2 linked regions of the Macaca mulatta genome follow. The protein of the gene in region 1 purifies or fractionates together with the protein of each later gene. This does not show direct contact. Links are inferred from orthologs where the notes say so. Each region holds a gene or a part of one and is shown on either strand. Other genes may lie near its edges. The genes, in order: LZTR1 and RIT1.

Region 1 (3,810 bases):
TGCCCGCCTGTGCCTGTCTGCCCCAGGAGCACTGCCTGAACTTCGTGGTGAAGGAGTCCCACTTCAACCAGGTGATCATGATGAAGGAGTTCGAGCGCCTCTCCTCGCCGCTGATCGTGGAGATTGTGCGGCGGAAGCAGCAGCCACCCCCTCGCACTCCCTCGGACCAGCCAGTGGACATTGGTAGGGAGCCCCGTTCCCCTTCCCTCGGGGCTGGGAGGGATGGTGTTCATCTGTGGCAGGAGACTTGGGAGCCATGGAGAGCACCTGCCAGGCCCTCGGGGTGGGGGTGGGTGCCATGGGACCCCAGAGTGCTCTCCTGGGTACAGGGCAGAAACAGATGGAGGCAGAAGCCCCCAACCCATGGGGCTTGCCACAGTGGGCTGTGTCCTGGTGAGCTGGGATTTCCTGAGCCAATTTCTGGGGGTGGACATGGGTACCTCTTTTGGGCTGGGATGTCAGGTCTGATGGCCCAGGGTCACAGTGATCAGTCACTGGACTTCTCTTTGCTTATAATGTCACAGGCCCCTTCATTCCCCCAGCTCTCCTTGGGGGTCGTGCTGACCCCAGTTGCTGGCTCTTGGTGACATCTGCCGGCACCAGAGGCCATGCAGTGGGCCTGGAGGGGCTTGATCATGAGGGCAGCGAAGGGGGCACAGCAGGCTGGGTGGAAGATGAGACGCTGGGTGGTGGGCTGTGTGTTCGGCATAGTGCTCGAGTTGGCCAGGGCGCTGAGGGAGGACAGAATGTGGCTGATGGTGCCTCAGGGCCAGAGTGAAGCCTTCTGCCTGGGTGAAGTTTTGTTCAGAGCGGCAACATGGGCAGATGTGCAGGAAGATAGTGCCATGGCGCCCCAAGGCCAGAATCCCAGGCTGTACCTGCTCAGGGTCCCTCCCACCCCCAGGCACATCTCTGATCCAGGACATGAAGGCATACCTGGAGGGGGCGGGCGCAGAGTTCTGTGACATCACGCTGTTGCTGGATGGGCACCCACGGCCAGCCCACAAGGCTATCCTGGCAGCCCGCTCCAGGTGGGTGGGGGCTGGACGGGAGGGAAGGGTGGGCCTGGATGGTGTCTTCGTTCTGCTGACAGCCGGGTGCCTGCCGCTCATTGTCTACAGCTACTTTGAAGCCATGTTCCGGTCCTTCATGCCCGAGGACGGGCAGGTGAACATCTCCATCGGGGAGATGGTGCCCAGCAGGCAGGCCTTTGAGTCCATGCTGCGCTACATCTACTACGGCGAGGTCAACATGCCGCCTGAGGACTCGCTGCATCCTCACTCCCCAAGGAACTCCCAGGTCCCCACCAAGGGGTCCTGGCACCCACCTCGAGTGGCTTTGAGGCCCGCTTTCCTGCCCCAGCTAGGCGATCTGGGCCCAGCGCCTCCCTCCAGAGGATTTGCTGGTGCCTGGAGCTGGGCCAGGTGCTCTCCAAAGCAGCTGGCAGCTGGCAGGGAGGGGTTTGCAGCCAGGAGGAACCAGTGGGTTCCTGACCCTCACAACTGCCCAGAGGATGGGGTGGGTCATTGTTTTGTGTGACAGTTGAGCACAGACATGGAACTACTCCTCTTATGTCACTTCAGTAGGGGTCCAAACATGGAGGGTCACGATGCCTGTTAGGCTTGCAAGGCCATGGAATTGCGCTGCAGATGTACAGACAGTATTTTTCTGGGGAGGGGATTCATGGTATTTGGATCCTCAGTGGGGCCTTTGACCCACTGAGTAGTTCAGAATCCATTTAGAGAGCATGCTGGCGTGTGGGCTGGATTGGAGTCTGGCCCCTGGTGGGCTTGGGGCTCCACCTGCGCCCCTCCCTGTCCTTCCCTGGGAGGGTGTGGGCGGACCAGGTTCCTTTGGTCAGCTCCTTAACCAGGCCCCAGCTACTTGTTTGCGGCCCCCTACTACTACGGCTTCTACAACAACCGGCTGCAGGCGTACTGCAAACAGAACCTGGAGATGAATGTGACGGTGCAGAACGTACTGCAGGTAGCCCCCCAGCCCTGTGCCCACGGCTGCAGCTCCCACTGAGTGGGTGAAAGGGGCAGCGCCTCAAGGTCCCTGCCATTACAGATCCTGGAGGCAGCCGACAAAACGCAGGCGCTGGACATGAAGCGGCACTGCCTGCACATCATCGTGCACCAGTTCACCAAGGTCAGGGCTCTGGCCTCCCCTTCAGGACTTGCTTCCCCTCAGCAGTGGGCACGCCCAGGCAGGGAGGGGTGCCCAGGCTCTGTGGTCCCCTGCAGTGGTGGGTCCTGGGGGGTGAGCGAGCAGAGCAGCCCACCACTGGCTGCACCTTGCTTCATCCTTGGGACTAGCCTGAGCCCCGAGCAGCGTGGGCCCCAGAGGGCTCCACTGCCCACCATGGCCCTTATGTGGATCTGGTCCCATCTCCTTCCGGCCTGCTTGCCTTGCAGGTCTCCAAGCTGCCCACGCTGCGGTCGCTGAGCCAACAGCTGCTGCTGGACATCATAGACTCCCTGGCCTCCCATATCTCAGACAAGCAGTGTGCAGAGCTGGGCGCCGACATCTGAGGCCCTGTGGCGCCTGCCCATTGTGAAGAATTGCCGTGCCTGCCTGCCCTGCCCACTGAGAAGACTACTGGCTATGCGTCTGCCTATGGCAGAGTGGGTGCACCTGCCAGGCCGAGAGTCGGGGTGCCCAGAGCCTCCAAAGAGAGCTGAGGGGATGTGGGGCCCCAATCTCCTCAATTCACTGAAGACACAGGTCCCACAGAGAGCAGATGATAGCAGATGATGAAGCAGACCCCCTCCCCTGTCATCACCCTCTCCTGATGTGATGTGGATGTGAGGCCACGGCTCAGTAATGGGCTCACCACCTGGAAGTGGGGAGAGACCTTGGGCCTCCCACCCAGTGGTGCTTGGCCTGGCTCCTATGGCCTGGGTGTGTTGTAGACCCAGGCACTGGGGCCTGTCACCAAGGCTCCTCCAACATGCGGGAGGCTTAGCAGACTTGCGCTGCACCATGGAATCTGCCTGGGCTGCTCCTGTCCCGCCCACCCTCACTGAGATCCATGTAAGGGGCTCCTTTTCCCACCCGGAACTTGTGAGTGTGGACCCATGATGTGTGGGTCTCACCTGACTTGAGGTGAATTTTGGAGTAAGGGCCCTGAGGTCAGCTCCCAGGTCAGTCGTGCTGGGCCAGGCCTGGTTTTCACAGGGGCTGAAGGATCCCAGTCCACCTGTGTGCATGTCAGGGCTCAGCCGGGACGAAGCCAGCCAATCCTGCATGTCCCTTGCTGAGTATTCTGTCACAGACAAGCCTCCATTAAAGCCACAGCAGTGCTACCTACCACACACACCTTGCTGGCCCAGCCAACACTGCTGGCCTCAGCCCCTCGGCCCTCCTGCAGCCGAGGACTGGCTCTGGAGCCCATGGCTTAGCAGATCCCCAGATGTAGGTCAGTTGGTCTTACCTGTCTCTATCCATGCTGTCAACTGCCCCCACCTGGGGTCACCCAGTCACACTAGGGAGAAGGGCTATGAAGGCATCCAGGCTGGCCCCTCCCAGGGGAATCCTGGAGGCCTGGGGTGGGCTCCTGCCCCTTCTGCCCTGCCTTGCCCCTGCACTGTGGTCTTGGCTCCTGTGGAAGGCAGGCTGCCCTCTCGCCCTAGTGAGGGCCCCATGTGAATCCACTCTGATGCTGGGGAACCAGTGCTCCCTTATTGGGAAGAGGATTCCAGGACCCCTTTTTTGTCGTGGCTGCCATGAAGCCACAACTCACCTTAGGGAAGTGACCTGCTCTCCTCTGGCTGTATGCAGGTGGAAGGGGGCCTTGAGTGGCAAGTT
Region 2 (3,810 bases), on another chromosome or scaffold:
AAAATGAGCTCTTGCGGTGTTGCCCAGGCTGGTCTTGAACTCCTGGGCTCAAATAATACTCCTGTCTCAGCCTCCCAAGTACCTGGGATTATAGGCAGTCACCACTGTGTCCAGCTGGCCTGAGAAAGACATCTTCTCAGAATCCTTTTTTAGCTTAGAATTGTAGGCGAAATCTTCAGCTATGAATAAACTACATCATCACCTATGTGGAAAAGAAAAAACTTCAGTTGAAGATTCAGTTTATGTATCTCAGTGGATTTAGCATGCTTCCTGAGCAAATGTGGGCATTTAACGAATTTGGATGCAATGTACTACTCTGTAAGATGAGTTTTAAATAGGCATTTCTTCCTGCATTTATGACTTTATAGTACACCTTTCTTCCCTCCTGTAGAAGATGCTTATAAGATCAGGATCCGTATTGATGATGAGCCTGCCAATCTGGACATTTTGGATACAGCTGGACAGGTATTAAATCCCAGAATGTTATGAGTAAAGGCTTTTTTACTCTAGTAAAGGGGAGGGGAAGGCCTACGCAGAGAAGATCACTAGTTTATCTCTCTTAATTTTTCATGCACTCTGACTCAGGATAGCAGGTAATGGACATACATTTTCTTTAATCTGAAAGAAATAGCTAATTATGTGTGTAGTAGCGCTAGAATGCGTCAATACATAATGATCCTTGTTTCCCTCTAGGCAGAGTTTACAGCCATGCGGGACCAGTATATGAGGGCGGGAGAAGGGTTTATCATCTGTTACTCTATCACGGATCGTCGAAGTTTCCATGAAGTTCGTGAGTTTAAACAGCTTATTTATCGAGTTCGACGTACTGATGATACACCTGTGGTTCTTGTGGGAAACAAGTCAGACCTCAAACAGCTAAGACAGGTGAGGATAGAGAAGAAAATAGTGTCTATAATCTTACACAATCAGTCATTTTTGTTTCTTGGCTTACAGATTCTTGACTTGGCTTACAGATTTTTTTGCCTTAAAATAGAAAATCAGGCTGGGTGAGGTGGCTCACGCCAGCACTTTGTGGGGCCAACGTGGGCAGATTGCTTAAGGTCAGGAGTTTGAGACCAGCCTGAGCAACATGGCGAAACCCCATCTCTACAAAAAATACTAAAAAACATAGCTGGGCATAGTGGTGCATGCACATGTGGTCCCAGCTGGTTGGGAGGCTGCGGTGGGAGGATCCCTTGACCTGGGGTGGTGGAGGTTGCAGTGAGGTTGAGGCTACAGCTCACTGCAGCCTCTATCTTCCCGCTCAAGTGATCTTCCCAATTCAGCTTTGAGGGTAGCTGGGACCATAGGTGTGTGCCACTACTCCCTGCTAATTGTTTTTACTTTTTGTGGAGACAGGCTCTCACTGTGTTGCCCAGGCTGATCTTGAACACCTGGACTCAAGTGATCTTCCTGCCTTGGCCTCCCAAAGTGTTGGGATTACAAGTATGAGCCACCACACCTGGCTGGAAGTAGTTTGATAGTTGTCAAATTCATAATGCTTCTCTGTTAATCTCCATTGGAAAACAGTCTTAGCAATTTGTATATAACATGTTCATTGCAAGTCTATTTATGGTAGCAGAAACAGTCTAACCATCCAAAAGTAGAAATTATGGCATATCCTTAACTAGATGTATGAATTATGGGCTCCTAATAGTTTTCAGTATTTTAGTGTAAGCGTATATCTCTTTCCCTTCCTTTGTGTTTCTTTTTCTTTTTTTTTTTGAGACGGAGTCTCACTCTGTTGACCAGGCTGGAGTGGTGCAGTGGCGCAATCTCGGCTCACTGCAACCTCCTCCTCCTTCTGGGTTCAAGCGAGTCTTCTGCCTTAGCCTCCTTAGTAGCTGGGATTACAGGTGCATGCCACCATGCCTGGCTAATTTTTGTATTTTTTTTTTTTTTTTTGAGACGGAGTCTCACTGTGTCTCCCAGGCTGGAGTGCAGTGGCGTGATCTCGGCTCACTGCAAGCTCCGCCTCCCGGGTTCACGCCATTCTCCCGCCTCAGCCTCCCAGTAGCTGAGACTACAGGCGCCCGCCACCACGCCCGGCTAGTTTTTTGTATTTTTAGTAGAGACGGGGTTTCACCATGTTAGCCAGGATAGTCTCGATCTCCTGACCTCGTGATCCACCCGCCTCGGCCTCCCAAAGTGCTGGGATTACAGGCTTGAGCCACCGCGCCCAGCCAATTTTTGTATTTTTAAGTAGAGACGAGGTTTCACCATGTTGGTCAGGCTGGTCTCAAACTCTTGACCTCATGATCTGCCCACCTTGGTCTCCCAAAGTGCTGGGATTACAGGTATGAGCCACTGTGCCCAGCTTTCTTTCTTTTTTTTTTTTTTTAATTTTTATTTTAATTTTGTTGTTTTGAGATGGAGTCTCACTCTGTTGCCCAGGCTGGAGTGCAGTGGCGCAATCTAGGCTCACTGCAGCCTCTCTGACTCCTGAGTTCAAGTGATTCTCCTGCTTCAGCCTCCTGAGTAGCTAGGATTACATGCACCCTGCCACCACATCCAGCTAATTTTTGTATTTTAGTAGAGATGGGGTTTCAACATGTTGGCCAGGCTAGTCTTGAAATCCTGACATTACGTGATCCACCCACCTTGGCCTCCCAAAGTGCTGGGATTATAGATGTGAGCCACCGTGCCCAGTGTTTTTTTGTTTTGTTTTGTTTTGTTTTTTAGACAGAGTTTCACTCTTATCACCCAGGCTGAAGTGCAGTGGCATGATGTTGGCTCACTGCAACTTCTGCTTCCTGGGTTCAAGTGATTCTCCTGCCTCAGCCTCCCAATTAGCTGGGATTGCAGGCACCTGCCACCACACCCAACTAAGTTTTCTATTTTAGTAGAGATGGGGTTTCACCATATTGGCCATACTGGTCTTGAACTCCTGACCTCAGGTCATCTGCCTGCCTGTCTCAGCCTCCCAAAGTGCTGGGATTACAAGCGTGTGTGACCACACCCAACTTTTTTTTTCTTGAGACAGGGTCTTGCTCTGTCACTGAGGCTGGAGTGCAGTGGCGCAAACACAACTCACTGCAGCCTTGCCTTGACCTCCTGGGCTCAAGCAATCCTCTTACCTCAGCCTCCTGAGTAGCTGGGACCACAGGTGTATACCACTACATCCAACTAATTGTTTTTTCCTTTTTTTTTTGAGACGGAGTCTGGTTCTGTTGCCCAGGCTGGAGTGCAGTGGCGCAATCTCAGCTCACTGCAAGCTCCGCCTCCCAGGTTTAAGCGATTCTCCTGCCTCAGCCTCATGAGTAACTAGGATTACAGGTGCCCAACACCATGCCCAGCTAATTTTTTTTTTAGTGGAGACAGGGTTTTGCCATGTTGACCAGGCTAGTCTCGAACCCCAGACCTCAAGTGATCCACCTGCCTCAGCCTCCCAAGGTGTTGAGATTACAGGCGTGAGCTGCTGCACCCAGCCCCAGCAAAATTTTTAAAAATTTTGTAGAAACAGGGTCTCACCATATTGCCCAGGTTGGTCTCAAGCTCCTGGGCTCAAGCAATCCTCCCACCTCAGCCTCCCAAAGTTCTGGAATTACAGGTGTGAGCCACCAAGTCCCGCCTCTTTATCTTTCTTAAAATAAAAAGTATGGGGAAAACTAAGGTTGTGTGTTTGATATCTATAACTATTCCCTGTTCCAAAAAGTATCTTAAAAATAGACTACACTTTGGGAGGCCGAGACGGGCGGATCACGAGGTCAGGAGATCGAGACCATCCTGGCTAACACGGTGAAACCCCGTCTCTACTAAAAAATACAAAAAACTAGCCAGGCGAGGTGGCGGGTGCCTGTAGTCCCAGCT

What was found.
Region 2: the proteins of LZTR1 (region 1) and RIT1 purify together in Homo sapiens (affinity purification with mass spectrometry; 3 studies listed by BioGRID and IntAct, counting the BioPlex papers as one, with this or other methods). This does not show direct contact. The link is inferred for Macaca mulatta from reciprocal best matches to the Homo sapiens genes LZTR1 and RIT1.

The regions. Positions count from the first base shown.
Region 1 is NC_133415.1:31,844,565-31,848,374, forward strand, and holds part of LZTR1 (leucine-zipper-like transcriptional regulator 1), read left to right. Parts: intron 1-26; coding exon 27-183; intron 184-904; coding exon 905-1,031; intron 1,032-1,121; coding exon 1,122-1,271; intron 1,272-1,880; coding exon 1,881-1,986; intron 1,987-2,070; coding exon 2,071-2,195; intron 2,196-2,318; coding exon 2,319-2,448; coding exon of another isoform or gene 2,449-2,534; 3' UTR 2,535-3,810. UniProt on the Homo sapiens protein: Substrate-specific adapter of a BCR (BTB-CUL3-RBX1) E3 ubiquitin-protein ligase complex that mediates ubiquitination of Ras (K-Ras/KRAS, N-Ras/NRAS and H-Ras/HRAS).
Region 2 is NC_133406.1:111,056,215-111,060,024, forward strand, and holds part of RIT1 (GTP-binding protein Rit1), read left to right. Parts: intron 1-391; coding exon 392-465; intron 466-693; coding exon 694-885; intron 886-3,810.